Styela clava: one gene and its partners. The protein of the gene in region 1 interacts with the protein of each later gene in a pairwise test. Links are inferred from orthologs where the notes say so. Each region holds a gene or a part of one and is shown in the gene's direction. Other genes may lie near its edges.

The links.
Region 2: the proteins of translationally-controlled tumor protein homolog (region 1) and GTP-binding protein Rheb-like interact in binary tests that used the Drosophila melanogaster proteins (3 or more experiments, as listed by UniProt). The link is inferred for Styela clava from reciprocal best matches to the Drosophila melanogaster genes Tctp and Rheb.
Region 3: the proteins of translationally-controlled tumor protein homolog (region 1) and Golgi phosphoprotein 3-like interact in binary tests that used the Drosophila melanogaster proteins (3 or more experiments, as listed by UniProt). The link is inferred for Styela clava from reciprocal best matches to the Drosophila melanogaster genes Tctp and sau.

The regions. Positions count from the first base shown.
Region 1 is NC_135256.1:19,372,763-19,384,478, reverse strand, and holds the start of translationally-controlled tumor protein homolog, read left to right. Parts: upstream 1-6,195; 5' UTR 6,196-6,324; coding exon 6,325-6,352; intron 6,353-7,156; exon of another isoform or gene 7,157-7,353; coding exon of another isoform or gene 7,354-7,619; intron 7,620-7,698; coding exon of another isoform or gene 7,699-7,795; exon of another isoform or gene 7,796-8,267; intron 8,268-11,716. Other genes in the region: uncharacterized protein LOC120343863, read right to left, coding at 1-719; uncharacterized protein LOC120327874, read right to left, coding at 7,354-7,619, 7,699-7,795. UniProt on the Drosophila melanogaster protein: Involved in calcium binding and microtubule stabilization.
Region 2 is NC_135252.1:17,678,978-17,690,617, reverse strand, and holds GTP-binding protein Rheb-like, read left to right. Parts: upstream 1-6,366; 5' UTR 6,367-6,638; coding exon 6,639-6,690; intron 6,691-7,020; coding exon 7,021-7,092; intron 7,093-7,518; coding exon 7,519-7,586; intron 7,587-8,106; coding exon 8,107-8,189; intron 8,190-8,522; coding exon 8,523-8,579; intron 8,580-8,833; coding exon 8,834-8,963; intron 8,964-9,610; coding exon 9,611-9,703; 3' UTR 9,704-10,473; downstream 10,474-11,640. Other genes in the region: peroxisomal carnitine O-octanoyltransferase-like, read left to right, coding at 1,876-2,045, 2,691-2,788, 3,122-3,198, 3,524-3,645, 3,958-4,062, 4,802-4,996. UniProt on the Drosophila melanogaster protein: Binds GTP and exhibits intrinsic GTPase activity. Activates the protein kinase activity of TORC1, and thereby plays a role in the regulation of apoptosis. Stimulates the phosphorylation of S6K through activation of TORC1 signaling.
Region 3 is NC_135252.1:1,473,921-1,484,705, reverse strand, and holds the start of Golgi phosphoprotein 3-like, read left to right. Parts: upstream 1-6,146; 5' UTR 6,147-6,279; coding exon 6,280-6,383; intron 6,384-7,084; coding exon 7,085-7,295; intron 7,296-7,507; coding exon 7,508-7,600; intron 7,601-8,494; coding exon 8,495-8,745; intron 8,746-10,785. UniProt on the Drosophila melanogaster protein: Phosphatidylinositol-4-phosphate-binding protein that links Golgi membranes to the cytoskeleton and may participate in the tensile force required for vesicle budding from the Golgi.

The DNA.
Region 1 (11,716 bases):
AGTTCTAATTGTTGAAATTTAGTGCGAAAATCGTATGCCTGGCCTTCTATCAAATTTTCGAAAGATTTCATGAATGAAAAATAGTTCAAAGGGTCACCATCAAATGATAATGGTTTAGCACGAGGAAGTGAAAAGCCTTGCTGCATCGCTTGAGTCAATTTGTATAGATGTTCAGAGAATTGCGTTTCAGCCTTACTCTTTGAATTGTCAACATTTTTGCATGGACTAACCGTTTGATTGGGTCTAGAAACATTTCCCAGAAAATGAACTTTTTCCTGAACTGACATTTCAGGTGATGTAGAATTGAATTCGTCAGGAAACCTATTCTTACATATTCTCCTTTTGACATTTGAGGAACCAACAGCCACAGGCCTCTGAGCATCTCCCAGAGCTGTATTGGCCAAGTCAACAGACTTCCAACCATCACTAGATTCCACATCAGCCATAAGAGCAGCTTCCTTACAATCTTGTTCAAGCCGAAATCTTTGCAATTCAGCAGCTTTTCTTCTCTCTGCTTCTAACAGCTCAGATTTTAGTTTCTCTTCCTGATCAAATTGCTCCAACTTGAGTTGAGCCATCTTTAGATTGTATTCTGCACGCACAGACTCATTAGAAATAACAGAATGAGCTGAACCAGTTGAGCCTGCATCGTCATGCTTAGCAACTGGTGTTCCAGAGGAGATCACATGTTGCATTTGCGGTGCAGAATCTTCAGCCATTGTTATATACGATATAGTTTTAAATTCTTTAGTTAAACTTGTACCTCGTTGTTAATTTAATGTTCAGGACAGTGATCATTTAGAACTATCCCACGCCAGACCCCTTGAGATGCCAGCGTTTTCTATTGATAATTTAAGATTTGATGTTGCCTAATTCTCTGGTTTGCCAGTTTGCTGGTTGAAATGCGTCTACCTTGAACTGAAAAACTGACAGCGATGACCCAATCCAGTGAAACACACAGAACACCAAGTTGTAGAAACGAAAACCAATGCAGCAATGTAATTTTCTTTGTAAAGATTGAAGATGGCAAACAACAATGCAAAATTGAGATATCAGTTACCGGTATTATAGCAAACGATTAACAACGTTCAGCGTACATAGCACAACAAAATCTGCAACAATATAAAATCATACATCTATATAAAGTTTGTCTGATGAAACCCATATAGGCCAGAAACCCACAAAATTTAGCATTACTAACCCTAAACTGAGATAAGCACACTTCACATCGAAAATCCTAGAAAGCAGCTGAGCAAAGCCCCGGATGTAGGACCATCCAAGACCAAAATCAGTATGCCAAAATCAGTAGACCGTAAAAAAATGCGATATTAGGCTAGCGTGAACAACAAGCACTAAATCAGGGGTCGGGTACCTTTTTGGTCAAGAGAGCCATAAAATATACATATTTTCAATTTCATTTCCGTGCGAGCCATATAACATTTCTTCACTTAATCAGGCCTGAAATGTTTACTCAAAAGTCAACACATACAATGTCAATATACATTTAATGTGATTTCTGATGCTGCATGTAATCGCTGCGGGCCTTGAACGGTTGCTCACACGCAGCCCAAGTTGAAATCTACGATACTCATCACCCTTTTTCGTATAGGCATCTCCGTAGTGTTTTTAAAACTCTATCGCTTTGTGATGTCACAATATATGTTCCAGAATCCCCTTGTTTGTCACAATGCCTGTCTGGTGATTATCTTACATAACATGGCCATGTGCTGGGCGCGCGTTCTCAAACGTTTTGGGAATTTCCTGCCAAAATTGGCTATAAAAGAGTTTGAAATCTCTCTCAAAAAATTTCCGAGTTTTGCGTAGCAAGAATTTAAAGAATCAAACCGGACAGCCAGTGTTCCCATGGATTAAATAGTGCAACGAATTTTGGACGAAATATCAGATTTCATACGAAATTTAGGAATAAATAAAAGTAATAGCCTTTTTAGCAAAAAATATAATCTTTACTCACTGAAAATTTCAAAGAAAATGGTTCAGTAATCGATGAGAAAAGCGATTTTTTCATAACGATACCAAGAAAAATACAAATAAGAACAAGAGAGCAATGCTCAAATATATTGACACGCAGAACAATTCCCCAAAAATCATATGCGGTGACTTACCAGTACCTGTATAAACAAAGCACCACATCACAACAATCAAACAGACAAATCACTGTGGTCGCAAATTGGTTGACAAAGATATTATCGACGTATTGGAAATGCGCACCTCCCTATTTCCCCTCGTTCAAATCTAAAAACGCGAAACTTTCAAAGATAGTTAAAAGAAACACAACTCTACCCACCTGCCAAGTTTCATATTTTTATCTCTTATATTTGTATGGATTTTCAAGCTTTTGACTGCTACGAGTTAGTTCAGTGTCACAGCGCTGTGTTACGGTACCAGAACTTCTCTATCATTAAAAACATTGGGCTTCTAATTGCATTTCTGACCGTCATATATTTTAAGAACACGGTTAATTCGAACAAAACTCGCCAAATTATAAACAAAGCACCACATCACAGCAATCAAACAGACAAAAACACGGTGGTTGCAAATTGATTGACAAACATAATATCGACGTAGGCTATTGGAAATGCGCACCCCCCTATTCTCCTCCTACCTGTAATGCCAGACGCTTCTTTTTCGCAAAACTAAATTATTTGATTTATTACGGTATTATAACAGCAGATACCACAGTCTACAAATATATTCACACCAAGCGAAGCATTTCGACCAAAGTCTACAAATATATTCACACCAAGCGAAGCATTTCGACCAAAGTCTACAAATATATTCACACCAAGCGAAGCAGTACAGTACCTGTTTACTGTACCTTTAGACCACAGTCTACAAATATATTCACAACAAGTGAAGTATGGTTTACCGTACCTCTAGAGCAGGGGTCGGCAACCTTTTGTCGCTCGTGGGCCATATTTAGGGGTTGCAAGTCTTCGGCGGGCCGCACATATTTTATGAAAGTTGAAAACTTAACGGATGATACTTTTTATAATAAAAATCAAGCAGTGATACATCTCTCAGAATAGAGTATAGATTTTGTTTCCTCATTACATCTCAAAAATTCCATCTGAATATTTTCGGCGCTATCGAACCATTTGCACTTAGCATCAACTTTTCTGCGTTTTGCCCAATTATAATTAAATTATAGGCTTATTAAACGAGTAATTGTGAATTTTATACTTGTTAGATTAAAATATAATTTAGTCTACACGCGTCTCACAATGAATTGTGTAACGTGAAGAATATAATCGTCAAAATAGCTGTTTTGTTACTATAATTCAGTGAAGCGTCGCGGGCCGTAGGTTGCCGACCCCTGCTCTAATTTCTAGACCACAGTCACGTGATCAAAAAGAGGTGTGCCTGCATATGCGTCCGCAGAACGTTCAGTGACGCCATAGCAAACAAAAACAAATCTCACAGAGCTAACAGAAATATTGGAAATAAATAAAAGTAATAGCCTTCTGGAGAAAAATTTCAATTTTAACCACTAAAAATTTCAAAGCAATTGGTCCAGTGATCAAAGAGAAAAGCGGTTTTTTAATATTTCCACTAGGTGTTCAAAAAGTATCAAAGAACAACATAACAACAAAACGATCGTTATGTCCACTAAACGTGTCCAACATATGAACACTTTACGCTGAAATTCACTGTGGTACGGTACGGTAACTTATCAGCAGGCTTGACCACGGAACCTGTTCACGTGATCAATATGTGTTTGCGGAATCGCCACGTGGTGGCAAATTCTGATGACGTCATAGATCAGAATAAAAACGAATCGCATAAAGTTCAATGGAATATTAGAAATTAATAAAAGTAATAGTCTTCTAGAGAAAAATTTCATCTTTAACTACTAAAAATATCAAAGCAATTGGTCCAGTAATCAAAGAGAAAAATGTCTTTTTAAAAACGTATCAAAGAACATAAGAATAACAAGAGAGCTACGCCCAAATATATGAACACGTCTGTTCGCAGTACAGTACGGTTTACCGTACAGTCGATCAGCGTAAGGAAGAAATCGTAGCAAAGTAACGTAAGGACTTCGTTACGAACCATCGACGTTCGATGTCACGTGATCAAAAAGAAGAGGAGTGTCGGCTATGCGTCCGCCGAACGTTCAGTGACGTCATAGCAAACAAAAACAAATCTCACAGAGCTAACAGAAATATTTGAAATAAATAAAAGTAATAGCCTTCTGGAGAAAATTTCATCTTTAACCAGTAAAAATTCCGAAGCAATCGGTCCAGTAATGAAAGAGAAAAGCGGTTTTTAGATTTTCCACCAGATGTCCAAAAAGTGTCAAAGATAGCAAGGCAACAAGAACAACATAATATTGAAACGATCGTTATGTCCACTGACGTGGCCAACAAGAACAACAAGAGAGCCATGCTCGAATATATGAATGCGTAGCGCCGCATAGTGGCAAATTTTAAAGGGGTCATGGCACACAAAAAAGCGATAAATGAAAATAATAGCCTTCTAGCGAAAAATATAATCTTCACTCACTGAAAATTCAAAGCAATTGTTCCAGTAATCAAAGCGATTTTTTTCAAAACGATATGAAGAAGAAGAAGACAACAAGAACAAGAGAGCTATGCTCAAATATATGGACAGTTTGAATAAAACGAAATATATTATCAACACTTCACCGAAAACCATAAGATACCCTACGCCTTCGGTACGATAAACTGCACGAATCTGAACAGTGAAACAGGTACATGGCTATGGTAACTGACTTACTAGTACTTGGGTACAAATAACGGTACGGGGACTGTCATAACTCTTCCATGTCCTGTGGTAATGATTTATGTTGTTTACATCAGAACTGTAACGAAAAGAGAGAGCGTAATTCACAGACGTACCGTACGGTACCTTACCAGTACCTGTTGCCTGTAGGCTACTGTAGGCCTGCTATTCGATCGTGGAACGGTTCTTCTCTGGCATATAAAAAATCAATTCAATTTGCTCTTATCAAAATTAACATATACGGTAGGTTAAATTTGACAGAAAACCTACATTTGACATTACTGCAATAGTAAGATCGCGAAAGGAACAAGAGAGCTATGCTCAAATATATGGACACGTAGCGCCACCCAATGGCAATAATTTTGATGACGTCATAGCGAAAAAAAAAGTAATAGCCTTCTGGAGAAAAATTTTATCTTCAACCACTGAAAATTTCAAAGCAATTGGTCCAGTATTCGAAGAGAAAAGCGACTTTTTAAAAACGTGTCAAAGAACAAGAACAACAACAAGGATAACAAGAACAACAACAACATAATATTGAAACGATCGTTATGTCCACTACGTGTCCAATAAGTCAATTTCACTGTGATACGGTAACTGAGCAGTACCGTACCTGCAAGCTCGATCACGCAACCGCCTGAAATAAGTTTAAAACAGTGTTCCCATGAGTAAATTTTAGGACAGCGAAATTTTGAATGAAATATCAGATCTGATAGGATTCGTAAGAAATTTAGGAATAAATAAATGTAATAGCCTTCTGAAAAAAAAAATCGAAAAAAAAAACTTTAACTACTGAAAATTTCGAAGCAATTGGTCCAGTATTCGAAGAAAAAAGCGATTTTATATTAATGATGGTGACGAAGAAAAATAAGAAAAGTAACAACAACATAATATTGAAATGATCGTTATGTCCACTAAAGTGTCCAACAAGAGAGTAATGCTCAAATATATGGGCACGCAGAACAAATCCCCAAAAATCATATGCGGTAACTTACCAGTACCTGTATCGGGTTACCGTGACGGTACAGGGACTGTCATAGATATTTTGGATCCTGTGACAATGATCCATTATTCTTGATTTTATTGAAACATCAATTGAAATATCTTGTGATATGAGACAATTATGTACCGTATTGCCGGATCAGGTACCAAACCAGAGTCAAACATTTCACATAAAAACGTTACTAAATAACATGCGTCAACTTAACACCAGCTGAATCGGGGTACAAATGTCGGTACAGTGACTGTCATCGACAATTCGACTACACGTGTTCAATTCAACTACCACACACGTGTCCAACAATGATGCAAAACGATTATTATGTTCACTAACGTGTCCAATAAACGAAGAAATCAACTGTCGATGAAACCACGCAAAACAACGAAAACAATTCAGTGTTTGCATTTTATGCGTACACTTTGTCTTTTATGCGCATGGGATATAACAGCATAATTTGTGTTTGACGTTTCACCGATCCTTTTCAACCGAGCTCTCCCTCGATTGCTTATATTTCTTTGTTCGTTGGATTTTGTTATTTTAATCGGAATTAATCATTCGGGATGTATGTTTTTAAGGATATACTTACTGGTAAGTTGAGGATTTTTTTTCTTCACTTTCTATTAAATATTTAATTATACCGTTATGACTAGACTTACCATAATTTCCCGAACGTAATCCGGGACAAACTCAAAACTATGAATGAAATTACTGGGCGAAAGGCCGAAGGCCTGAGCTTGGCAAATTTTTATTCCATATTTATATTTATAAGCTTTAATATTGCCTAATGAAGTATTTTATCACTTTATTTAAAGGAAACTAAACTACTTCCAGACTTCAGTTAGCGCTTACCGTAAAACCGGCTAACTTCGGATGATTTCACTATATTTTGAACAATATCTCCGCCGCATGTTGTTCAACTGAAGCCAAATTTGGAATATAATACATTGTGGCTATTCTCGTCTTGATAAAGTCGGTTCCATATCCATCAAAGCCTTTTTTCATTGAAATTATTGTCTTTATTCGTCTATTCTAAAATTATCTAACTTCGGATGGCCACTTTTCTCTTTGCGTCAACTCGTCGTGAGAGAGAAATGTCTGCGTAAGCAATGACGCGTGACAACGTCGCTGAATAGACCTTACGCCGCCACGACCTGTCTTGCGTGTTGAATACTGACGTTTGTACGTGACGTTACTACGTGACGTTACTCTTGCCGCTTCGCGAAGCTTAACTATTTATTCTTGTGTCCTTTATTATAACTCGTATATATTTCACTAACTACTCCTAATTTATTGCAAAATGCTAGTTCGTTCTTTTATGATCGTTTATTTTCAATGCAAGAAAAGGATTAACAAAAAAAAAAACGGAAGAATTGAAAGTACCTAACACTGGTGTAGGTTGAAATTGAAATGCAATATGGAACAAGTAAAGAATGAACAAAAATTAGACAATTAAAAATAAACGGATGAATCGAATGAAACACTGGCAAAAGTAAAAATTGAAATCAAAAAGCAATATGGAACAAGTAAGGTATGAACAAAAATTCGACAGTTAAAAATAAACAGATGAATTGAAGGAAACGCTGGCAAAATCAAGAATTGTAATCATTTCCACATGGGTTAGACGGGTCTTTGCAACAGTTCTTGTGGAACCAATGTGTTTCGCTGCAGCTTTCGCAACCGACCCATTCATCCTCAATTTCCGTACTTCCATTTGGATCATTCCATAATCCACAAGCAGAGCAGGTTTCGTCTTGATTATCACTTTTCATATTTTCTGATTGTCTCAGAGCTCCCCGTTGATCGGCTCGGCAGAGGTTCCTGCCCGGTGTGACTTTCGATCCTCGCTTTCGTTTCACTTAATAAAGTCAAATGACAATGAACGGATAAAAACGGCAAAAAGAAACTTTGCCACTTTTTTTCATTTTGCGCCTCACCTGTATGTGGTCCAACCTCCTGCTGTGTGCATGTATGTAGAGTTCTACGCTCACCTGTTAAAGATATTATTATCATCTGCCGATCATAAACAGACATATCTAATCATTATGATCGTATAGATACATGTTTCAGGCCTAACGTATTACCAATTGCTACGGTATCTATCGGTGTCGGAGGAAGTATGCAAAAACAAAAATCGACAAATTTCATATGCATTAAGCGTATGCATAGCCATATTTTTAAATAAACAACATATGACTGAGACGATAGTGATGTTTTTGTAGGATTTAGTGACTAGGATCATGGATAAGCATAATTTTTAAATTTCACAAAACTGGGCGCCGCGATGTCTGGCGTTCAAATGTCGCAGCGAGTAACGCACAAGCTACGCAAAGTGACGTCGGCTACGAAGAGAGAGAACGGGATTTGCGTCGTTGACGTCACGCTGTACGTAATCATCAAAACGTCGATATTTTGATGTAATTTTTAAATCAAAATAATCGATTTCACTCGAATCTCGTACGACACCTTGTGATCACTGTATTTTTTTGTATACATTGTGTACGCTCTCTAGCGCTTGGCGGTGATTTGACGAAGGTAGCGTCTGTAGAAGTCACGATTTGAGCCGCTCGAAAAAACGGTGTCATTTTTTTGGTAAAATATGATTTTTCGAATGATAAAAAATCAAATCGAGCGATTGGAGGCTACGGCAGATTCAGATATGTAAGGCCTTACTATAGAAACCGACAGAAGCGCAATACGACGAAATTTAGTTGAGATATGAATGATTGAAAATTTCATCCGAAGTTACAAGGCATCCGAAGTTAGCCGGTTTTACGGTATAGTCCATGTCAGTATGTGAAAAGAATCTATTCACCGTACTGTTAGCCTACTGTACTACTGTACTACATTACTCTACAGAATCTCAAGTTCTAGATTACTTGCAGCATAATATGACTTAAACAAAATCAAATGAAAGTTATTATGCCTTCTCCAACTCCAAGCATACCGGTACCCCAGTCTGGATTTCATGGCCTTTTTGAACGAGAAATCGGGCGTGCAATCAGAAATTCCCGCGTGCAAATAAGAATTCCTGGCGTGCAATTATAGCTCACGACGTGCAAAACAACTGCACTCGCGTGCAACTGACTTTGACATCAGATACCTTTTTTTTTTTTTTTTGCCAAATAAATTCCAATGCCAAACGGAATTTTCGTATATTAATTTTATTGTCGAATTAGTATAATTTGCACCCAATTAAAACAATTTCATAATTTCAAAACACATTGCCCACAAGTTCAATAATATATGTAACAATTAAAATATAAAACCATACCATTACCGGAGTTTTGTATCATATATAGTCCAATTTATATTCATTGAATATAGGTTAATCCATACCGGTACCATATTTGACATCAGATACCTCTCAATACATCCGCGTAAAATTACCGGTATCGGATAAAAAATACGTTGAATCAGAGAAAAAATGGACGTTTGACCTTTGACCCCAAACATTATTTCTACAGTTTGTCGCTAATTTTGATAGTGTTTGTGCGACTTTGGATACCGGTACTGTTCAGTACATCCGCGTAAAATTATTGGATAAAAAATACGTTGAACCAGAGCAAAATGGACATACTTTGTCATTAATTTTGGTAGTGTTTTTACGTAGAATTAATGGATAAAAAATACGTCAAATTAGAGCAAAATGGACGTTTGACCTTTGACCCCAAACATTATTTTCATACTTTGTCACTAATTTTGGGAGTGTTTGAGCAACTTTAGATACCGGTGTACTGTTCAGTACATTCGTGTAAAATTATTCTATGAAAAATACGCTGAATCAGAGCCGTACTTGGCCATTGGTGCAGAGGCGATCTTTTCGTCCATAACTATTCTCACGGGATTCCTATTTCCTATCATTCAACACGATATGGACCTTTCCCCGAGCATCGACTTCCTTGTTTACTTCGTGACATTGGCCAATCAGCAAGATGCAAAAAAGGACGTAACAATGAGAGGAATTTTTCGCGGGTCAAAGGTTGGGGAAAGGTCCATGGTCTTTTTGCTTCTCAGTATTTCGATCAGACCTAATCTTGCAGGCTGGTATTTGTCGACAATTGTGGAGTTATAATATTTTGGCATCTTTATATTACTGGATTATTGATTTTAAAACCATTTAAACCGATTTACATTGGTGAGCAGTTGCAAATTTTCGGCGTGCAAAATTGATTTCGCTCGCGTGCATTTTTGCGGAGCGCTAGCGCCCTCGGGCGTGCATCTGCCATGGAATCCAGTCTGGAGCATACCTAAAATGGCTTCTAATGCAGCAATTGCTGTAGTTTCATTGAAGTCAATAGAATAATGACGCAATAAACGTCACTCATTATTCCCTAACTAAAAGATTTCTCAAGCTATGTGCGATATTTGGGTCTCATGTACTTTCTTACCTAACATACTTCTAGTGGGCGTAGCATGACAATTTTTTAACGTATCAATCCTAACCCCCACCGGACTACACCATCCAAAAATTACGTCATTACGAGGTCACAGTGACGTAATAGAGCCCTTCAAACTATACGAACTGCCATCCAAGATGCGCAAACGAGCACATGAAATCGAACAGTTAGTTCTCTCGTTTTCTCGTCGCAACGATTCAAATAGGAGAGAGACCGATAACGTCAGTCAGTTCTTTATCGTCGGCGCCAATGCCATTCCGGTCGATCGTGCGTATATTTGGCAAGCTCTATGACGTGATTGTGATGTCGTAGTGATTTAATTTTTGGATGGCGTAATCATATGGGGGTTAGGATTGACATATCAAAAAATTGTCAAGCTACGCCCACTAGAAGTACGTTAGGTACGAAACTACATGAGACCCCGATATTTTACTCAACCTAATAAGCTAAAAAAATTAAGATATTAAAATAAGCCTCAAGTCAGCAAGTTAAAGCAAAGTTATGCCTTTTGGGACGGAATTATTTCATAATTTTGCATCAGGTTGGAGCTAATTTTGAAAATTTCACTAAAGTAAAATTCCAGGACATATTGCTAACCGGGACAGGACGCCGGGACAGACGTTCAAACCGGCACTGTCCCGGCCAAACCGGCACTGTCCCGGCCAAACCGGGACGTATGGTAGGTCTAGTTATGTCCCTTCACTTATGCCCGTGCAACTGTATGTATGTTTATTCGTCTCGTAAAAGCAATATAAAAGAATTAGTAATTATAAATACTTGAGACAGTATGTATGCACAAGACAATACTGGCCTAAAACTTGAATGTGCGGCATACACCCCTTTTGATATGTATAAATTATAATAAGGTAAATTAAATATGTATAATATGGTCCTTTTTAGTGACAGTTGTGCAAGGAGGGTGGGTGGGTGGGTGTGGTAGCAGAGGTTAGGGTGGAGTATACAAAACTGTTTGTACAAAGGAGTTTGTGTAACAAAACAACATCTATAAATAGAGACACAACACAACATGAAACACATTGCATGTAAATATAGTACAATACCGGTGCCATTTGAGTGATGATACCACATACTATAAAACGGGGGAAAGGTCAAGTTTAAAGGGTGTGGTATGCACACTTCAGGGGTAATAGTGTTATAAGTAGTCTATGGCTGTTCTGGCAAAAATGTGACCCTACAAGTTTTAGTGGAATGTGATGTATGTATCAAATTAATCATACATACATACGTTTTTTCAAATTCTGGATTCAGCCAAAAGCGATGAAGTTTCAAAAAAAAAATCAATAAGAAGCATTTCCACAAAACCTATTATGGTTGCATTTCAACCAGAAGATTAGAAAGGTATAAAGTACAGTGTGATAGGGAATAATAAGTTATAAAGAGAAGCCATTTTACCATGTCATGGATTTTCAAAGGAAAAATAAAATAATAGAATAATATGATATCCTGGGGTGGACGGGAGGAAAAGTTTGATTTGGTGATAGATAACAGTGGAAATAAATTGAACCTCGGTGCTACTCGGACAAAAACCATTGTC
Region 2 (11,640 bases), on another chromosome or scaffold:
AACTAAAAACTGACTAATTTAATGCAGGGATGTCCAAATCGAATTTAAATTCAAATATCGCAAACTTCAAATACTGTTTTTCGTGTTTATAATAATCCCAAATATGGCGCACATATCCTAGGCGTCGTCGTCCATGTGTGGTTCGGCAATATATTACAGCTGAAATGAAAGAATTTCGATAAACGCCGACTTGAAGAACTTATAAGACTTCGAGGACGTTTTTGATTGAAAATATTTTCTTATCGAGTATTTTAACTTAGTCGAGATGGTTTAGGCGTCCTCGGCAAATTGTGTCTTAATTAGTTGTTTTCATCCTCAGTTTCGATAGTGACCGAACATAACAGGAAATTTTTTCATTTCTTCTAATTTAGCGCGTATAAAATAGCTCTTAAATAGTATTTAATATCTATCGCGGATTTCGTCGGCATCCGGCATTGATAACAACATCAGTTCAGTTAAAGTTAGCGGTATTCATTTACAAACAAAAATACATAACAGCCGACATGAAATATTCAAATCAGCGCAGAATTCAATAATAAAACACGTTTTTTGGTCTTAATATGCACATAGAAAGAAGAAAGGACAGAGAAATAACGACTAAAAACTAAGAACGGTATGGTATGTTTGTGTACTTTTGTTTACCATCGTCATCATAATCGAATTAGTTAAACCCGATTCCCAAATTTCCGTCCGCCAATAATGGAGGATGAAGATGGAAAAACGTGTTTTACTTTTTGAGTCAGCGTTGATTTAAATTTTTCATGTTATGTGTTTTAATTTTTTGATTATAAACCAATACCTCCAACTTAAAATGAACGATATTGTTATCAACGACGTCAGGACTCGGGATAACGATAAAATCTCCGATAGAAACCAAATAATATATAGAAGCTATTTTATAGATTGCAAGAAATTAAAAAATTTGACTAAATTGAAATATACGATAACAAATGTAAAAAATTTTCAACCAAAAACGTCCTCGACGTCTTATAAGCATTTCAAGTCAGAGTTTATTGAAAACCTTTCACGACGACTGTTAGTTATTGCCGTGCCACACATGGCTGCTTTCGATTGCGATAAAAAATGAAATAATTGTGGAATGTTTTTAAATCAGAACGTGGACGGGGGCGGGGCGGTAGGATGTTTACGGCGTTTTCGGTTTTCGGCCTTTCATATGTAGAAAATCTTAGGTTATTCGAAGCAATATTTTTCCGAAAATAATTTTCGTATCCAGATTTTCAGAGTTTCTACTGCATTATTATAACATGAAGACGGGTGGCGTTACATTGCGTCAAGATGATAAAGCACAAGAGAGAGAGAGATAGCATTATGCTATTGTCGCTTTCAATTCGCATCGACAGCGCGCGATTTCTACTTTTTTGAGATAACATATCTCATTTTCGAATACAAACATATACGCGGGGTTAGCGATTATTACGTAACTATCAGCAAAAAGGTATGATTGAAGTCGGGCGGTGTTAAATTACGTCGAGGTGATAAAGCACTGGAAAAAAAGTAGTTTACACCGGATTGTTATGACCGTGGAACGACGTTGTTTTAACATAGAACAATAATAAAAAAAAAACGAAATTCAAACGGGGAGGACACGACCCCCCGTAACCCCCCAGCTGGTTGTGCCACTGATCAGATATAGTCGAGTATCTATCAGGTTTGCCACTATTATTTAACTTGCTACACTTAGAAGATTCTTTTGCTTTGTCAGTACCATGTTTGCTTTTATATATATTTATAACTCAAGATTAAGACAATAAAAGACAAACTATTTCACAGGGTTTCCATTCCGTTTGGTTGAGGTTCCGCTCTATCATAATAAAGCTGGAAACCGCTGATTTAGGATTATTTATTGCTTTCCAGATCAAACGCCAGTTGATTCTCCTGTTGAACTTACATTTGTTTTGGATGAAAAAATTAAAAGCTGGATAGCAGAGGCTACAACAACAGCTGAGAACCTCAATTCAAATTTTGATTGTTACTTTTTCAACTTTCATCAATTCGGAAAAAAAGCATTGAAAAAACTGAAACATGTAAGTACGGTACTTGCATGTGTATTCCATTGTAACACTAATTCCTATTTACAGGTGAATTATTGAATTTGGTTTACAACCATTTCTTGCCTTATTTTGAGAAAACCTTGCTAACTCAAATTTGGCTGATAGTTACGTAATATCATGCATTCACATTGGTAAATCTGCTACCACAAAGCGTTCATAGTTTTCAGAACTTTTATCTTGAAATTGATTGTGTTATATATCGCAAATATGTTCGTCTGTTTGTCAGCCTGTTACATAATAATTTGAATAGCCTACACTTAAGAGCAAACCTGCATGGGGTAATGCTACTATCCTACAAAACGGATTATTAGGAGGAGTGGCTAAGCGATAGTAATACGCTTGCCATCACATCTCTTATAACCTTGCATGGGTTTGCATCATGAGGGTAGATAATAATTTGCGAAGAAATTTCTCATTGTAGGGTGGTTAATGGTAACCGCTGGTCGGTTACGACTATCTCCACCATCAAATTCATCTGAAACAAATAACTGGTCAAATTTTTGATACCAGTCATGAACTGGTAACCAGACGGACGGCCATATCATAACGCGTCTTATCAGCTTCCCTCTGAAAATTGTTATCCTAAAAAACTAAAAAAATGTTGATTACTTTTTCCAGATTCATTCATGTGCATTTGCACAGATTTGCATTCAACTTGCTTTTATGAGAAAACATGGCCGTCCTGCTCCGACTTATGAGACTTCAACAACTCGAATGTAAGGATACTAATTTATATTGAGTGCTGAGCAGGTGCTTGGACACTTTTCAATTCATCCAGGGTGAAGAAGATTGCCGGACATCTCACCACTGTTGGGTGATCGGTTACGGCTTCCTCCACCATGTCGATACATCTGAAACAAATAACTTCCCATCTAATCCCATAAACGACACGAATTGGCAGCTGAACGAGAGGCTGTAATACACCTTAAGCCTCCTCATTGGCTTTCTTCTGTCTAGGAATAAATGAGAAAATCATTCCCTATCTCAAGTCCAATACTGATTCTAAATTCCACAACAAAAATATCAATAAACTACACTTTATTTTCCAGCTTTTATCGTGGAAGAACAGAGACCTTACGTACTTGTACCCATGAAGTTGTTGAATTTTGTGAAGCAATGATTTCTGGTTTGAACTTTTCGCTCTTTAATAATAAAGACGTATCGATAATATCAGTTATTTTACTGATATCGGTATAAGCTAAAAATAATATAATTTCTATACATGGAATGATCATGTGTGGAGCATTCCTGCCTCATCAATTTCTTCAGAGTTGGTGAGTGATGGCTCATAAAATGAATATACATATATGTATGTCACTATGTATATTAGCCGGCCTGACATAAGTTTTCTAATCAAACGTTTGCTATAAATTGCTTAATATAAATGCTGAGCATCTTTGCAAACATACAAAGTTAAAATGTAATTGACAATGCGTATTGTTTTCGGTCAGATCTTCCAAACAAGGAAGAATTGTTCATGAAGGCCTGTGATAAATATGTTTGGTTGATGGAGGAATGCAAAGCAGGAAGAGGATGTGATCGACATATGCTTGGTATCGCTGCGATAGCAAATGTAAGATGCTTTTTATATGAATAACTTTGATTAGTTTTTTTTTCAGATGAATATAGTGTAATGCAGTGGTTTTCAACCTTTTCAACAGTGTGGAACCCTAACAAAACATTTCGTTGGTGAGAGGAAGCCCCTGGGAAATGGTTTAAGTGTCTCTTATTCTCTTGAAATGCAGCAAGTTTACCAATATTGGTAGCCATAATTGGTGTTTGATGATATTCAGTCAATATATATATTAACATAGATTCTCGGATCTGAATGGAAACCCTGGGCTGCACTGCCTGAAAATCATGTTAGTTCATTTCAATTTTGCAGGAAAATGGTGAAAAGCTACCTAAAATATTTTCGGATGCTTCATTTGAAAAATCTGGAGGAAATGGAAACTTTGTTCTTTCAACAAGTTTTACAGGATACACCAATGTGAGTATCAGCACACAATTTTTTCTACGACAGATCCAAAAAAACAGAACACTTAAATTTATTAATAACTTCTACAAAAACGGAGAAAATTTATTTGACAAGCGAACTCTGTGTATGATTGTACCCAAAAGTTTCAGTAATCTACGACAGGGTTTCCCAAACTTTTTGAGCCGCAGACCCCTGTTTGTGAATCTTATTTTTGACGCACAACCGTCCTATGCCCTAATGATTCCTGTTCCTAACCAATGAGGAAGGATAATGTTTCATTTAGAACACAAACGACATTATTGTGATGGATGAAATTGCCTTTCACTGCACAATTTATCGATTATCGGAGCAATTTTATGAATGAAACTGCGGACCCCAGTTTGGGAAACCCTGATCTAGGACGTTTTGCACAAAAGTTGTGCTCTTCTATAATCCAAGATCTGTTTCTTTGTGTCGCCCTGTATTTGACAAACCCTATAGTCCAACTCAAGCAAATATGCCAAAGTATTGAGTAATGATATTGAAACACAGTAACCATTCATTTCAATGGCTCACAAGTGGTAGAATGACATGGTTTGCTGCCCAACAATTTTCAAAGGCCCCTTCCATGATAACCCTATTCAAATGTTGAATGTAATTTCAAACTTCTCACATTTTTTGCAAAGTTTGATCTACATTTTGATTTCTAATGACTGCTCTACTCTCAAATGGTAGTAAGTATGCTTTAAGCTTTCTATTACATTTTATGTAGGCTGCCGGAGGGGTTGTTCCAATGCGAGATGATGGATATGGAACATTCTATAAAATAAACAACAATTATATGACCTTTGTTGTCACGACGATGAGAACTGGACCAAAAACAGATGCAAAGGATATGGCACTGCAGATTGGAAAAGCTTTACAAGATGTCTTCGATTTGATGGTGAACAATTATTCACGTCTGTAATTTTCAAGTTTAATTATTTCAAAAATTTTTTAGTAACAAAACTCTATGCTGTTTATACTATGATATAGGTGCTTTAATTCTCTTTCTGTTGTACTTTTTTACAGTAACCGTGACCAGATTGTACCAATTTTCTTTGTTACATATATTAATCATACAATTTAATTGTTTTGAGTTGGTCAATGGCATTTTTGCTCTGAAATTGTCTTATTCATATATTCCTGGTCCATTATTCTGCTGATGTTTTTTCATTTATCCTTGAACCCCAATGATATTTATACACTTTCAATTATAAAGTACCTGGAAGGGATTTAGCATGATGGGGTTAGATGTCAAATTTTCTTTGTTTTATTTTACTCAAGTGATGTCAGTTACAGAGTGTAATCAGTAATATTTGATGAATACTGTATACCATCAGTGCCCCCCAAGTTGGCAAGATATTTTTTTATAAAATTAAGCAAATTGCTACAGTATTAAATACTTTAATATTATGTTCTAATTATTCCCAAAGTTATATTGGCTGAATTTATACGGTTTTAAAAATCAAATTTTCGATGAATATTTTTGTCTGTATATTAATATCATATCTATCATATTTTTCAATTCTCTAATTCTTTTTTATTATCCACTGTTCGATCTATGCATTGTAGCAAATGACCGTTTAATGGCAACTAATCCTCGTGAATGGTGAAATTATTATCATTGGCTGCTGTAATCATTATATATGCAATAATTGATTATAATATATTTGAGTGATGCTGTGTTGACTAAAGTGTAGAATGGAATCCTATGAACTATCAGGAATTTAAATGACTTTCTGACGAGGGTGTAGATGTAACTCTTTGACAGTTTGTGCCATACAATTCAATCAGACATAAATACAACTGGGGGGAATTTAAAATGGGAAAGGTGAAGTTGTTTTATTGGGCCGGTTTTGTTGTTGTGAAGTGATCACCTAAATATTTTTTTGTTTTCTAATTCGTGAGTATCGTCGAACATAACTCGTGTAAATCGGAGATATGCAAAGTAAATGTGAAATATGACGCTTAAGTACGCAACGAGTAGCGCCCGCGCATCATGGTTTCTGCCAATAGACTATTCATTCTTAGAGACTAATAATTAAGATACGCGTCTTTCCAAAACTGAGTGAGTGTTGAGGCCCTGGGCTTCAGCCTGACCGAGTGCAATGGTCAGTGGCCTTGAAGTTGGTGCCATCACAGGAAAGTACCGGTATACCGCGAGATATTGTGCGAATCACGGCTTCTTTGTAAAATGCCTAGTGAATTATCGGGGTGCAATTAGACATGATTGAAGACGCGCAGCGGAGGGTGAGGCACGATGGCGCACGAAATGTCGTAGTCTGCGCCATTATATTCTTCAAAAATATTTTATAAATCAGTGGAATGGGTACTGGTACCGGTAGCGTGTGCTATGACCAACCTAACAATGTTCAGTAGTTTATTCGCCGGTTACCGTATGCCATGATATTTGTGTATATACTCAGTCCACCACCGATAAGATCTGAGGAGTGAGGATTTGTTTTGGCTTCTTGTCTTGACATCTACTTGGGAACTTTTACGCATTTTTCTATTTTGGAGGAAAGATCGGGAGTATATAGACTATTGGACTACAGAAAAAAAGCAATATGGCACCTCCCAAGTCGCGAAAAATTGCTATAATGGGATACCGATCAGTGGGTAAGGCTGTGAGTTGGGTTTGCGTTAGACAGTTCTGCAGTTAAGGCTCTTTTTATTATTCCAATTTTCAGTTTGGCAATTGCCCTTCATCCGTACCGGTACCGGTACGCCTCTCTCTACTTTTTCAATATACAGATAAGTGAATTTAGTGTAAATTTCACAATCACTAAACTTTAAAATTAATAAACATAGGGAAAGCTTTTCAAAATAATCATTTCTTCATTCTTGTCATAAATTTTTCTCAAAATAACATGAGTTCCAAAGTTTTCTGCAAACATCTGTATATTCTGTACAATAAACTCATTGTAGTTTTTTCAATTTGTGTTACAGGGAAGTCGTCCATAACCATTCAGTTTGTTGAAAATCAATTTGTTGATTCTTATGATCCAACAATAGAAAATAGTAAGTTCTGAACTAAAGTTTATCATTTTTATTTATTGACTGGTTAGATTTCTTTGTTCCAACCATCAATAATACGCAGATACATTACTTTAAATATAGATGAGCACCATGCAACTATGCTATTCAATGCTGTATACCAAACTTCTGGATTTTTATATTCAAATAATTTCATAATTAAGTAGCCCATTTGACTTTGTGATCAACTATAATTTATGAATTTGAATTATCAAAATAGGAGCAAAATCATGATATTATGAAATATTTACATTGAGTACATTTTTAAACAACACTAATTCTTGTATGCTGTAGTTAATGTTTCCATTTCTAGATAGAATTAAGCCTGTTTTAATATTTTCAGAATAAAGCCTTTTCTATCTGGTTTGTGTATAAAATATTAAATTATTTTGTTAATTCATGTATTTGCAGCATTTACCAGATCACTGAAAGTAAATGGACAAGAATATCAGTTGCAAATTGTTGATACTGCTGGACACGTATGTTTGTCAGTTTATATTATTTAGATTGCTAGATTTACAGGATAGTTTAAAAGTGTACAGTGTTCCCTCTAAGGTGTGCGCGTGTGCACGCGCACACAGCTTTCAGAGGCTGCGCACACGCATAGATTTACTGCGCACAGACGTATTTCGATGTAATGTAACAATTTTCTCGGTTGGCAGGTTGAGAAAGTTTGTTGTTGGCCCACCCATTACCCGGTTAGAATGCCAAAATCTCTTCATTGGTTTTTTTCCAAAAAAGTGCGCACACATCAAAATTTCTGCGCACACATACTACAGAAATTAGAGGGAACATTGAAAGTGTAACACATGAATTACATATCTGCGATTTTGTTTTATTAGGGAAGGTTTGTAACTGAACTGCCCTGATCACAAATTGTTTTGCTCAAAGTCATTCTGCTCAACTAATAGTAGCACCCTACATATATTGAGATACTCAAATATTTTTTTCATTCGGTAATGTTTTTTTGTTTAAAATAATTTTTTCGTTTTTTTCCAGGATGAATACTCATTGTTTCCAGAAGCTTATACTCTTGATATCCATGGATATGTTTTAGTGTATTCTGTTAATTCAAATAAAAGGTGAATGTTAGTTATCGAAATAGCCAAGTATTGAAATATGTTCTTTGTACAGTGTTAATACTAGTACATTAGTTTTCAATCCATTATCAAAGTATGGACTGTAAGAACTATTACAAATTTTTTGAAATACCAATTATTGTGTTGACTTAGCTGTCTAAATTGAGTAAAGTTTGCTACTTAAAATGGAATTTTATTTTATCAATATGAAAATTCTATTATTATAGTACACCAGTATAGTAAGTACACCTGTTGTCATCATAAGCCTTACCTTTTGAATGTAATTTAAGGCACTACGTAACCTTTAAAAATATTTGACATGTTCTCCACATGAAGCTTCGAAGTTGTCAAAGTGATTCATGAGAAACTACTCGATATGGTCGGCACTGTTCAGTGAGTGTTTTGTTATTATTTTTTATAGGTTAACATGGCATAATAGAAAAAGCATATTTCAAAACGTCTATTTTTCTTTAGATTTTACAAGGAGATTGTTTTTTCGTTATTATTGTTTGTGGATGACCATCAACATCAATTCTTGTATTGTGTACAATTTGTACATTTATTTCATTTAAATAGTAATGAACCCAATATCTATGCAATTTGGGAGTTTCTCAAAACTGAAAATTTCCTCATTTTATTGTTCTCAGAGTTCCAATTTTACTTGTCGGAAACAAAACAGATTTACACAATGATAGAGTTATATCAACGGATGCCGGGAAGAAATTGTCTCAATCATGGGGCGCTCATTTCCTCGAATGCTCAGCTAAGCACAATATGGTATGTGTAACAATTGTTTAGATCAGGGGTGTGCAAACTGCGGCCCATGGGTCAAATGCGGCCCACGAGGAAAAAATGTGCGGCTCACACTGGGAAGTATTTTGGATGGTGTGCCTGCGAAACGAGTTTTGTAGTTTCGATAATCTGGCACATGCGAGCAATTCCAATCCCTTCGCGTCGCAAACCCTATACCTTGATTTACTAAATAGGCTGTTTCATTTTTCAATTATTTGCATTTTTTTTATTTTATCCGCGAAAAATTTATAGATTGATATTTTTTGTAGTACAGATAAAATCATTTATCAATATTTTGAATGGATTGCACAAAAGAAGCACTAATATTTCATTTCAGTTTACAAAGTAATGATATTTCAAAATATTTTGTTATACATGGTTTAAGACATTTAAAATTACTGATGTACAGTGAAAGTTGTAGATAAATCAAAAATGCATGCGCCTATGCATTAAATATTGAATAAATAAAGAAGTTTTATTCATAGCGATGGAATAATGAAGTGTTTTAAAATAGGCAGAGGAAGGAATATGACGACAAAGATTGGGAATGACTGACCTATACTGTAGTTTATTAGGTTTCTTGAATATTTTGCAAATCTCAAATTTCTTGCAATGTGTGTCATTTTCAACAGGATGTGCAACAGATATTTAAAGAAATAATATTGGAAATGGAAAGACAAGAAGGGAATATACCTGAAGAGAAGAAAAATTGTTCAATATCATGAACCAAACGCGATAGGAATAAACTGGGTCGTTATCTGACAGAGGGTGAATATCGCTCCGCTTGGAATCATATTTTTGTGGAGGGAGCTAATTCAATTCCATGCATGATTAAACATATGTAAAAATAATATTCTGGAGTGATGGTTGTTGAACCATGACTATTTATTCCATCTATTTTAAATATGATTGTATTGTTTTTATTTTAAATACAATTTTTTTTCTATTGATATAAAGTACCTTGAATGCTTAAACAGGTTTTCTAGACCTAACCTTATTTACTTGTGACCAATGGGATATTGTCTGTATCATGGTACGAGAAAACTTTCGATAATCTTGTCTAATTGTATGTTTGTAAGTATTCCTAAGAGTATATTGTGTAATATAAGAACAATGTGTAGAAATTAGATATGTTTCATTTTGAACGGCGGTGGCGTTATGTTTATTATTAAATGTAATACTTATATTCATATTCATTGTTCTTGTAGACTTTTTGGCCATGTTTGAAATTTTCATTGCAATTTTCTTTGATCGTTTTTTTCAAATTTTTGTTATCACGTGCACCTAATCCGATTTTGTACTGTACCTAACTATAAAGATGTTTCATAGTAAGTATGTTTGGCATTCCAGTTCTTGAAATTTGAAACTTGATGTCAGTCTTATTATTCTATTTCCATTTCTTTATTGTGCTATTCACTGCATGTGCTAGTTTTTCAGTGGTAACGCCTGCTTTTATTGTCCACTCGATTTCAAATATATTGGCATAAAGTTTTAATTTTATCTCCAATGTTCATTAGGGAGTGGTTAGTTTCAATAGCTGCGGTAATCAAACTGATGTTTATTATTGAACGTAAATCAGCTATACGAAGATAGCAAGCTATATTAAGCAATTTTCATTAAATCGTAATGATTTTGCATCATAATTCCAACTATAAAACATGAATACGAAGACGGGAAACAAAATCTTTTGACATTGGCGAACTTAAGTTATTAAGTAAACATGTATTTCGACGGGATCGGATCGCCACTTCCAATTGTCTTTAAAAGTGGTTGGATCAACTTGTTGCTCAACTGGGCAAGTGCAGTTTCAAGTATTTTGTGGCGTCTGGAGCTGCCGCAAAACCATGGCGGTATTTCCATACCATACCATTCAAGCCTATGGCGACTGACTTTTTGGCTGTCACAAACCAATGACGAGCTGACGTTACCGCGGCAGCAAATTGAAAACCAATGGCAGGTTAAATTTTGCTGCCGTAACTACGGCAGGTGGGCCGTAAAGACAGGGCTGTCCCTTATGGTGACAAATATTGGGCAAGTTGGAACTTTTTTCTTATAGATACAGTTTTGATGGAGTTAGGGTTTGAGTAGATATAATTCCGCATGTTGAATTGATATATGGTACATTAATTAGTGAATATACCGTTAATACTGAATAGCGCTATAAAACCATGGCAAGAGCTGCCGCGGTTCGTTCGTGGCAGGAGCTGCCATGAAGTGGTAAGAACTGCGCCTCCAACTGGGAGTGTTGTGAACTCTGGAATATCTTCAGCATTTATCGTCGGAATCTTGGCAAAAATTTGGAGTAATTTTTGATTTGTGAAACAAAAAGAATTTTTATCTTATTTAGCAAAAGTTTAGTAATTCAGTATTTACAGGGCGGGTCGAAAAAACTTAAATTGCATACTATAACTTAACGCTAGTTAAGTTCTGGCAACTTTCCTGTCATCTTTTTCATTTGATTTAAAAATAGTGAAACATGCTCAAATGTAGTGGTAGCTATTTTTTTATTTGGTATAACGCATTTTTTGGGGACTTATATATGTTTGATTATTGCTACCAAATTAACAGTCTGATAAAAGACGATGAAATGAACATGAAAATCGATGCTAGGGAAACACCTTATGTTTTATTATGCACCACATAGCATCGTTAAATATGATTT
Region 3 (10,785 bases), on another chromosome or scaffold:
ATAATCGGATGGCAGCATTGCGATTAAGCGGAGTCAGTGTTGTATGTATGTATGTTTATTCGTCTCGTAATAGTGATACATAAATAAATGAACAATTATTATTATTTAAGACGGGATGCACGCACAAGACCTGGCTGGCCTAAAACACAAATGTGCGGCATGCACCTCTTTTGACAAATATGAAACAAAAAACATTAGATTAGATATGTATAATATGCTCCCTTATATAGACAGTTGTGCAAGGTGGGGCAATGGGTGGGTTGGTGTGGTGAAAGTGGTAAGGGTGGAGTATACAAACTGTATATACAGGGGGGCAATTCCATGGAAATGGGGACAAATTAGAAAAAAATAAAAGTGATCAATCCTGCATAAACAACCAAAATTTTCATAGAATATATCTTGGAGTTTTGTGAACGCAATTTATAACAAACCTACAGGGACAAATAAAAATGTGACAGTCATGGAGAGTTGGTGATGCATTGACCCCAAATTTCGCCATCATAAGTCATTGAAACAATCTTGGGGTTTTAGCCTTAATGACGTATCATGAAAAACCATAAATTATTTGATATGTTGGAGTGGCATAACCATTCCCAAAAAATAATTCAATTTTGTATAATACTATTTCTTGGCATCATTAGCCGCAATCTACTGGTAACAATTTAAATGTAGCGAAAGTACATTTTTTTGGGCATTTTTTTATTTATCTGAAAAAAAATACTGTAATTCTTTTTTTTTAGCAATACACCATCTTCCTGTAGATAGCTACACATACAATATGTGCACATTTTTATTTCTCATGGTTGTATAAAGTTTTCAATATTCAATGTCATATTGTGTAACGCAAGTACCAATGTAACGTAAGTAACGAAACAAGAGAAATGAAAATTTAATAAATCAAAAAGGTTTTAATAATAAAAGATATATGTTTTGGATATTTAGTTTTTATTCTTCCCTGGGAGTTTATAAGACAAGACAATATATATAAATAGAGACAACACAACATCAAATATACATATATTCATAACAATGAAATCAAAATTTAGGCGCAAATACAGCACCTTTGAGTGGTAATATAATAATATGCTTGTATGTATGGATATGCTCGTATCAAATAGGCCTGTATTGGTCATGGATTGATTGCTTCGCACAACAGAAAAGTCATTATTCGTTGAAAAAGTCAGCTCTTTTAACAAGTGGCGTAATCGCGGCGACTTTTCCACGTGAATTCCGAGGCGATAAATATGTATTTTTGATTTACTGATATACTTGTATTTTATTTGATAGACAGGTATTTTCATTGTTTGAAATAAAATTGTACTCTACGGACTTTATATCAGTTATTGAGATTTTTCTAACGGCTATAACGAGTTCGCCGCAAGATTGCAAAAATACGTATCAAAATTAAATGCATTAGGCAGTTTCACATATTTTTATATCCAGAGATCGCCGTGGTATTTTACGTGAGTGATGTTTTTATTTTGATATGAGAAGACGCAACCGTTACGTTGGACTCAACTAAATTATTATATTAGGACATTTTAGAACATCGTAGTTATTATAAATTGAATATTTTATGCAACAGAAAAACCATTATACGCTGAAAGGGCGACTCTTTTAACGAGCGCGCAATCGCGGTGACCGTGACAGACGGCAATGGAAGGAATTTCCGATTTTCAACCCCCCTCCCCCTTTTTGAAAATCCTGGCTGCGCACCTGACTGATACCTACCTTTTTAGTCAATTAAAACTGATACCTGTGATACCTTTTTTAGTCGGGGCCCCTGGTACGGTACAGAACCGGTAGTCCGGTATGTTAATAAATTACCGAGTTAGACGAATGCTGGGATGTCACATTGCTCATCGAAAGAGAGACGTTGTATAATAAAATCGAGATCTGTTTGTGATTTATCTTCAATAAGAGAAAATCCGAAAATGATATGGTAACTTACCGCTAGCGACCGAGCCTCGCACGATGTTGATAAACGTATTCCAGTTTATTACATCCAGCCTTCTGATTTCATACCGGTACCGGTCGGTACCAAATTTTCGATAGTCAGTACCTGCCGTGACGCACATGCATTTAAAAAATTAGAACCCATACTCCAATATCTCAATCTTACTACAGTACCGTACCATACTGCCATATGCTCAACTTATCCATTTAATAAATCTGCTTATGTCTGTATGTACCTCCAGACTTCTATGCTAAACTTGATTCCGTGGCAGGTGAACGCAACACGCCTGAGTAGACTTGTGCTCTCAAAAATGCATGTGAGCAAAAATCAATTGAAGGGGAGAAAATTCGGAAAATGTGTCAATCCTAATAACCCCCACCTGACTAAGCCACGCCAAATGCTGGTTACCAACTAAATGGCCTGTCTTGAAAAGCAAGCGCAAAAACTACTTCGCCTGTATAAAACTGTTTATCACAGTTTGTTTGTTACGATTATTTAACCTATGCGAAATTCGCAACATCGCCATCTTGCGTGACAGGACTGTGCTTCAAAGCACCAGTTGGCATGTTCCGTTTAAATAATTTAAAAATTATTTGTCCAAATTTATATCAAATGGGGCCATTCTGTCAGTTGCACGCTAACAATCTACAAACAATCTTGGTAAGTTTGCACACAGGCTCAGGGGTTTGGCATGTCACACTTTGCACGCTGAGATTTTTGGATTTATTTCAGGATCTATACGAGTTGTGTACTAAAGTTGTTCATCCAGTTTACAAGCAACTTCGTTCCCATAGCTACAAAAACCGTAACTACTGAACTTGCTAACTCTGAAATGTTCACTCAAAGTCAGTTCTGTAGTTAGTTGCATTATACACTCCAAATACTGAAATACAACCACTGCTGCACTGACAGTTTGACTTTTCAGGGCTCTGAATCTACTGTATCAAGACTAGCAAAATGATGTCATACATAGACACACATGGCATGGAAGAATTTGACCTATCTAAAGAGAATACGATCAATGATATATTATATTTCTAACTAGATTCAATACAATTAAACCATCATGATAAAGTTGCTAGACACTTAGAAATCGTTTCTTTTTTGTGAGTTATAGTAATCGCAAAAATATCGATAATAAATGCAACCAGTGATAAAAATCTAATTCAAAAATCCCCACATTCCAATCATGTATTATGTTTTAGCCTATTATCCCTTATGGTTTTTTGTTTGTTTTCGACAACTTTCCAAAGGAAAGTACTCAGCTATTTGGATTAAATATTATTAATCTATTGCTTGCTATCATTTTTATGTTTTTTTCTTGAAATTTGGGTTTCTGGAAACTTGGGTAGCACATCACCCGTCTATATTTTTTCAATATTAATTATGTTAGGTTATTAAAGTCAATGATCTGGAATTTGTCGTAACGCAACATAGGTAAACCACCCTATGCTATGCCTGAGAGCTTGGGCCAACACTGCTGTTCTCATTTTATAAACATTAAATTATGAAATTGTTGAATAAGGTACCGGTGGCGGTAATTGTGATTGAAAAATAATAGCTTAGTGGCGATATTGACTAGATTAACTAAACATAGCCTACTTTGTCAGATTTGTCCTAAACGTATTGCAAGTTTAGCATGCAAAAATCAAATAGCAATTCAGGATAACATATTTCGGGAAAACCAACAGGAAAGACCTCTGATGTTATTTTCAATACACCAGGAAACAGCATATTATGCTGATTCAGTTAATGGAGAAAATTACCAATTTATTGCAAAGAATTTTTTGTTTTAATTGATGAAAAAACGTTTTCAATGATGAAAAAAGATTTGGGTTTATTTTGAAATATTGTAATTCCATAAGAATAATTGAATCAAAGTAACTATTTGTTGTGGATATTGCAATAAGTCAATATCAAGTGAAATTCTAATTGCAACTCTATATGCCACGTGTATTTATTTGAAGTTTCTGGCTCATTTGATACTTTTTTGAATAAAAATTACAACCAGTTGGTTTGAAGATCATATATAAAAAATTCTACGAGGTTCGAAAGCATAGAGATAATGTAAAATCATCAATTTGAAGCAATAAAACTAGCCAACTATGACTGAAATCCTGGAGTAGAAGTCCTGGAGTGTTATTTCCAATAATACATTTTAACATTATTGTCTTAATTTCTAATCGAAGTACAAGGTATGATTAAATATATACCAGTATAATCAACTGAATAACCTGCAGAATTTAGGCAAGAATATTTATATATTCTCTTCTTGTCATTAGGATCATAAACTACGAATTTCAAATTCATTCACTTAAAACAGATGCAGAGGTAAAATCAGAGATATGGATTAAGGTTGCTTTTAATAGTTACGGTAATCATGACATATTTCAAGCTATAAGTGGTTTAAAACAGTGTGGTTTCTGAAAATTGGAATATTTTTACAGTCATATATGATTTAACTTGCCTTGAGAAAGTATAGTGAACATTTTATGTATGTTTGACCAAAATAATTTTATGCCTATGGCATTGGTTCTCAAAATTTGCTATGTACGCCCCGAAAATTAACAGAATTGTGTTGTTATAGCTACAGTACTATATGGTTGAATATTTTACATATCGTTTTATTATAATGTTTTATTGTTTCCTATTTTAAATGCTGTGTATATAAATCAGTGAATTCATTTTTACCTTTCTATGTTGTTTACTTTCTGTTAGGTAGTGTCTGCCTCTATTGTTATGTAACAATGGAGATAATCCTAGTTGCTGCTATTTCATGAGCTGCAGTTTATTTATCTTCTGAGTTTAGCAAACATGTTTTTAGTATTCCGAAGGAAATGAAAATAAAAGACATCCCCCCAAAATAAGCCCTAGTGTTATTTTTCGAAAGAAAATTCAAATAAAACCCTGCCTTATTTTCAGGGAAACACGGTATAATAAAGTACTAGACATAGGGCTTTGTTCTGCAATTGAGTTGACAATTTGTTAGTTTGCAGACACAGTGTAGGATACACATGCCGCAAACCATTATCCATATTGTCAGTTTGTCTGGTTAAGATGACACAGTATCAATGTCATTATTTCATTACCAAGTTAATTCTGTTAGTTCTGTTTTATTTTAATCTATAAAGAAGATGTTTTGTAGGGCTCAGACTCTTCAGTTTGGAACAATTCCTCATTCTTGGTTTTTCAACTTATTTGGTAATATTTTATAGAAGTGCCTGAGGCAAAGGAACATATCTGTTCTTATAACATGAACTATCATCACTTGTGACACATCTTTCCCCTCAGGCAAAATCTGGTATTTCTAGTTGACAAATTTTAAGATGAAGACTGTAATTGCACTACTTGACTATGCCATGAAATTATTGAGCTTTTAAATGACTTATAGTATGTATTAGGCTTCAGTTAGAGTAAAATATTAGAGTTATTTATATCATATATATAACAATATAATAGTTGTCAGTTCATCCATGGTTACACTGTGTCGTATCGCAGGGAATATCATTATCGTAATCAGTGAGATTGTATTTGAGAATAATGATTCTTATATTATCTTAGCCATAGCATATTTTCATAACACCTCAATGTGAAAAGGTTTCTTCCATCAATGAATACTACACAGTTATGAAATACTGGTGCATTAAAAAAAGTTTTGAGGTTTTCAAATTAATAATGTTCGAGAAACAATATAACTCATTACCAGTAGTATGTCCTTGGTCAGATTAACTGCGAAATTACATTTCCATGTTCCAAACAGTATGTACCGTAAGTTTCTTATTTCAGAAGCAACCTAGTCAAAGGTCTAAAGGTGTTTCACAAAGTTGTGGTAAAAATTACAGTAACTCAAATAATCTTTGTAGTTGATTTGTAGTAATATAAATTGTAGACTTACTATTTCTTCTCTATTGCTTTTCAATTGGTGTATTATAGCAAATATGAATATTTTTTATTTAGTCTTATTAAGCCGTGCTTAAATGCTGCACATATTCACAAATTATGATTTTTAATTGTTGTGGCCAATGTCAGGCCTCATCAGGCAATTTACAGCATTGATCGAACACATTTTTTTGTGTGTAAATTGTTATGGTGGTTATGATTAGTTCTTATTAAACAGTAGAATGAGTTTATTCCTGTTTTACAACTTTAGTCTCCTTAGACCAATTTTATGCAATTGTTTTTGACATGCCAATTTCATTTACAGCTGATGACTTATATAATATAGGTTATGTGATACACCTGCAAAAACATACAGTCTGTAATTTTTTATTGCTTACTTGAGGTTTAGGAAATTTGAAGTTGTAATACACAAGATTATCATCATGTCTTCTGGGCTCATTCAACGGAAGACAGAAGCTACTATGGCTGCAGCCCAGATGAAAAAGAAAGAAAGTCGTAGTGATGACGAGAAAAGTGATGATGATAGGTTTGTAGTTCATTTTTATGTCTAGTTCATTTTGCCTACGTTATATCTATTGCATCAGAAATGCTCTAGCCAAGAATTTCTCAAAATTATCCCTCCACATATAGGAGGGCACAGAGCGGCATTGTGGAGGTCAAGAACAGATATTCACTAGGTCACCGTTCATGATAACTGCATTAATTTAGAGTAAACTGAGAACGATTTTTTTGTTTATTTCACCGTAATGCATTCTTTTGCTTTCATTTGTTGGCTTTTTTTGTGTTAAATTAAAATAGCTGATGGCAATAATAATTTCTAAATTATTCTTTGCATTTTCCTGCTGTTCATCAATTGAGTTGTTGATTTTCTTTTGAATTAAACACCATGGGAGATATATTTGCGGTAGACAAAGTGTTTTTTATTATTTTTCAAGTAAATATACGTCAGAAACTCAGAATGGTGTGTAAAATCGGTTAATCATAACCAGCCCTACTGATCAGCCATACAATCAATAGTAAGCATGTTCTTGTCGCTTATTAACACATTGCACCGATCGTGGATACTTATTAATTGTAAACAATAGCTACAACCTACTGTGCATTTTTATTTCATGTTCATTGTTCTTTATTTGAATGGTGTTGTATTTCAATTTTAACATAGAGACCTCAGACACCCATCGCTAGTTATTCTGTGTTTTTACTGACTGTGTGCATACTCTATTTCAGAATGTCTGATAGTGGGGACAAGTCTATGCGATTAACTTTAATGGAAGAAGTTCTTCTGATGGGTTTGAAAGATCGTGAAGGTTACACATCATTTTGGAATGATTGCATATCATCAGGATTAAGAGGTTGCATTCTGGTTGAACTTGCTTTGCGTGGAAGGATTCAGCTTGAAAGGCAACAAGCAAGGAAAAGAAAATTGTTGGATAGGAAGGTTCAGAAACATCTCTTCACCAATCTTTAGAAGTTTTATTTTTAATTACTCATTTTGAACAGATTTTATAGTAGTCATAGCAAGCAAGCCTGAAGTTGTACCACTTATTTAGGGAATTGAGGTTTAGGTATTAGAGTTGTTAGACTAAATTTTCTTTATATTGTTTTTTTACTTACCGTACACATTTTTTTACGCAAAACTCTGAATTCCAGGTACGATGTAAAAATGACGCACCTACTGGGGATGTTATCTTAGATGAAGCTTTGACACATATTAAGAAAGGAGAAACAGAAGAATCAGTTCAGGTATACATTGTTCTTTGGTCTAATAATATTTGAAAATATTTTACATCAGGATGCAAATTACTGGGCGGGCAACATTTGCGCAGGTGCTATTTTGAATTAAATTTCCTTCCGTTGGATATCCAATATATAGATGTCAAGCGGAATAAATACTAGAAATTAGAATACTCACAATTCCTTGATTTCACCTGAAATGTTCAAAAAATGTAATTGCTCCGATGAAAAACTTCCAGTTATACTAACTTTCATTTTTTTCCTGAAACAACAACTCCCAACAACGAAAAGAAGAGAATTCCTTCTTCGAATGGTCCGATGTGTATATAATGAACTTTGTATGACACCAGTCTATGAAGGAGCCCAGAGGATTTGTGTCTGCTTTATTCCAATATAGTGACATAGAAAATATCTCTATCAAGCATATTGTTGGCTAAATCAAACCACCCATTCCTAGTCGAAGAGGTGAACTAATATTCGAACTGAATGCCCGTTTATGGTAACCATTATTGAGTTCAATCGTTCCAAATTTGATGTGGTGCCAAATTATTTAATTTCAAGGTTTTTTTATACAGTTTTTTTTAAATATTATCCTAAAAAATTTGAGTATACTGAGTTACAAAAGAAAAGCCTTTTATGACTACTTGAATAAGATTCAAACTGTTTAAACCACAAGAAAGTACAGAGTTAGAATGTTACAAATGAAACCATAATTTCATAGAGAATTAATTTTACATCGCTTCTAACGTCAAAAACTACTCAAATAACCAGACCCCCTTATTGAAAACATATAGCACCAACTGCACAATATACACTTTTCATTTCGGTGATGAGTGGGTATTTGATAATGAAGATTATCAGATTCAATCTTGTAACTTTGTTCCGATGATTAATATTTTGCAGGGATGGATAGATCTGCTGTCTGGAGAAACGTGGAATCCTTTAAAATTGCAATATCAATTACGAAATGTACGGGAACGCCTTGCCAAGAACCTTGTTGAGAAAGGAGTTCTAACAACTTCAAAACAGAATTTTGTTTTATTCGACATGACCACACATCCTGTTGTCAATGATGATGTAAAAGCAAGCCTTCTAAAAAGAGTTCAAGATGCTGTTTTAACTAAATGGCCAAATGATGTTGAAAAGATGGATCGGTCAGTTTCTCATACTATAGTAACTTCTTTTTTACAGTGTAAAACATATGAAACCTCAAGTGATGCATTACTTTAGTTATATTTGAAAAATCAATCATGCTCACTCCTTTTTGCTTTCCTGCTAATCAGTGATTTGTGTTGTTGAACTTTGTGCCAATATTACTGGTTGGGTGAAACTCTGGCGGTTTACATGATTTGTAACTGTATGTGGGTGGGAAGCCCACATAAATAACAAATTCCTCTATTTTATTTTCGCGAAACCTGGTTTTGTTCGGCGCATCGTGCACTTGATTACTGTACTCTGCGTGCTTTCGTAGGTTTGAATCACGTGGGCAATTATCACACACGAAAGAATTGCTGCCGTAAGGCACGGTAGTTTGCTTACCTTATTGGTCGACAAAATACGGCCGGACGCTCCATTAAATGGACCTTTCCCCGACCTTCAACCCCGGAAAATTCTTTCTATGCTTTACCATTTTAAAATTTTCGGTGCTTATTTTAAGAGTGGTTTCGCGAGTTGTCGCCTGTAAAATGGGGTATTTCAAACTATCATTCGAATACATACCATTCAACAATCTATTTTTTTAAATTACCGGTAAAGAATTTTAGCCTAGTCTATCACAGCTATTTTCACTTTAATTTTTGATTACTACAATTAAACTGAAACTCCTAGGAAGACAAAGTGATCATTGAATTATTTGATTTTTATTTAAATTTCCGAAACACAACTAAAAACAAACGAATCTAATTCAAAAACAGAGAAATTGAGGTAATGTTTACGACCACGCCTGAAAATCTGTCTGAGCGAAAAAAGCGTCTGAGCGGATGCAAAAGGGGGCATTGTTACGTTTATTTTTGCATCTTGCTGATTGACCAATGTCACGAAGTAAACAAGAAAGTCTATGCCCGGGGAAAATCCAATACGCAGACAAAACGACGTTTTGACAATGAATTGATTTTATTTATAATCTACGCTCAAGAGTAAATTACATTTTTTACGTAACAGAATTTATCGTGAGACACGTTTAGACTAAATTATAGCATATCCTAACAATTTAGTGAACAGCTACTCGTTTAATGAGCCTATAATTTAATTATAATTAGGCAAATGACAACACACAGAAAAGTTGATGCTGAGTGCAGGGGTTCAATATCGCAGTAAATATTCAAATATATTGCGATGCAATGAGGAAATAAAATTCATATTATATTCGAGAGAATCATCACTGCCTAATTTTTGTAAAAATGTATCTTTCTAAGGAAAATTTTTATCAAAATTTTAAAAACCATGCGAAAATATTGTGCGAACAATTATTTTCGAAAATGAACATTACAAAGAACAAGCAAAGAACTAGGATTAGTCATGCCCATTTAGAAATTGTTCCTTGGCGTCGTAAGGCTATTAAGCGTGATGCAGCAACAAGACAGTGTCACATCAAATGCCATTGTAATAATTTTTTTAATAAGACGACTGAGTTGAGTTCATGAATTGTCGCAGTTTTTGCGCGCTGTTCCGTTTTTAACTTTCAAAAAATATATGCGACCCGCAAAAGACTATCAACCCCTAATTTTGTCCCGCGAGCGACATAAAATTTGCCGACCCCTGGGCCGTAGCCGATAGTCAATCACGGCTTTTGCCACATCCGAGTCCAGGAATCTAAACGAATGGCTGATTAATTCTATAACCTGGAGGCCATGGTACGATGAGGAATCGATGATGAATTTTACCGAAAATCTTTATATATAATGTATTTTGGTACAGGTCATCAGGCTGTATGGATGAATGAGATGTACGGAAATCATTATTAAAAGTTCGAGAAAATTAAATTTGTTTTCATTATTTTAATGTGAAATGGGGTGAATTTAGGACGGCGGTTTTTGAGGAGGTAGAACCCTGGATCCTTTCATTTCCGACCTCTCATATGGTGAAAAAGGGATTTTCAGCCGTGCTTCTATTATTATCAAAACAAGAAATCGCCTTTCCATCAGTAAACGGGGTGATATTAGATTGTGTCTCATTGATGTGTCTCATCCATCTCA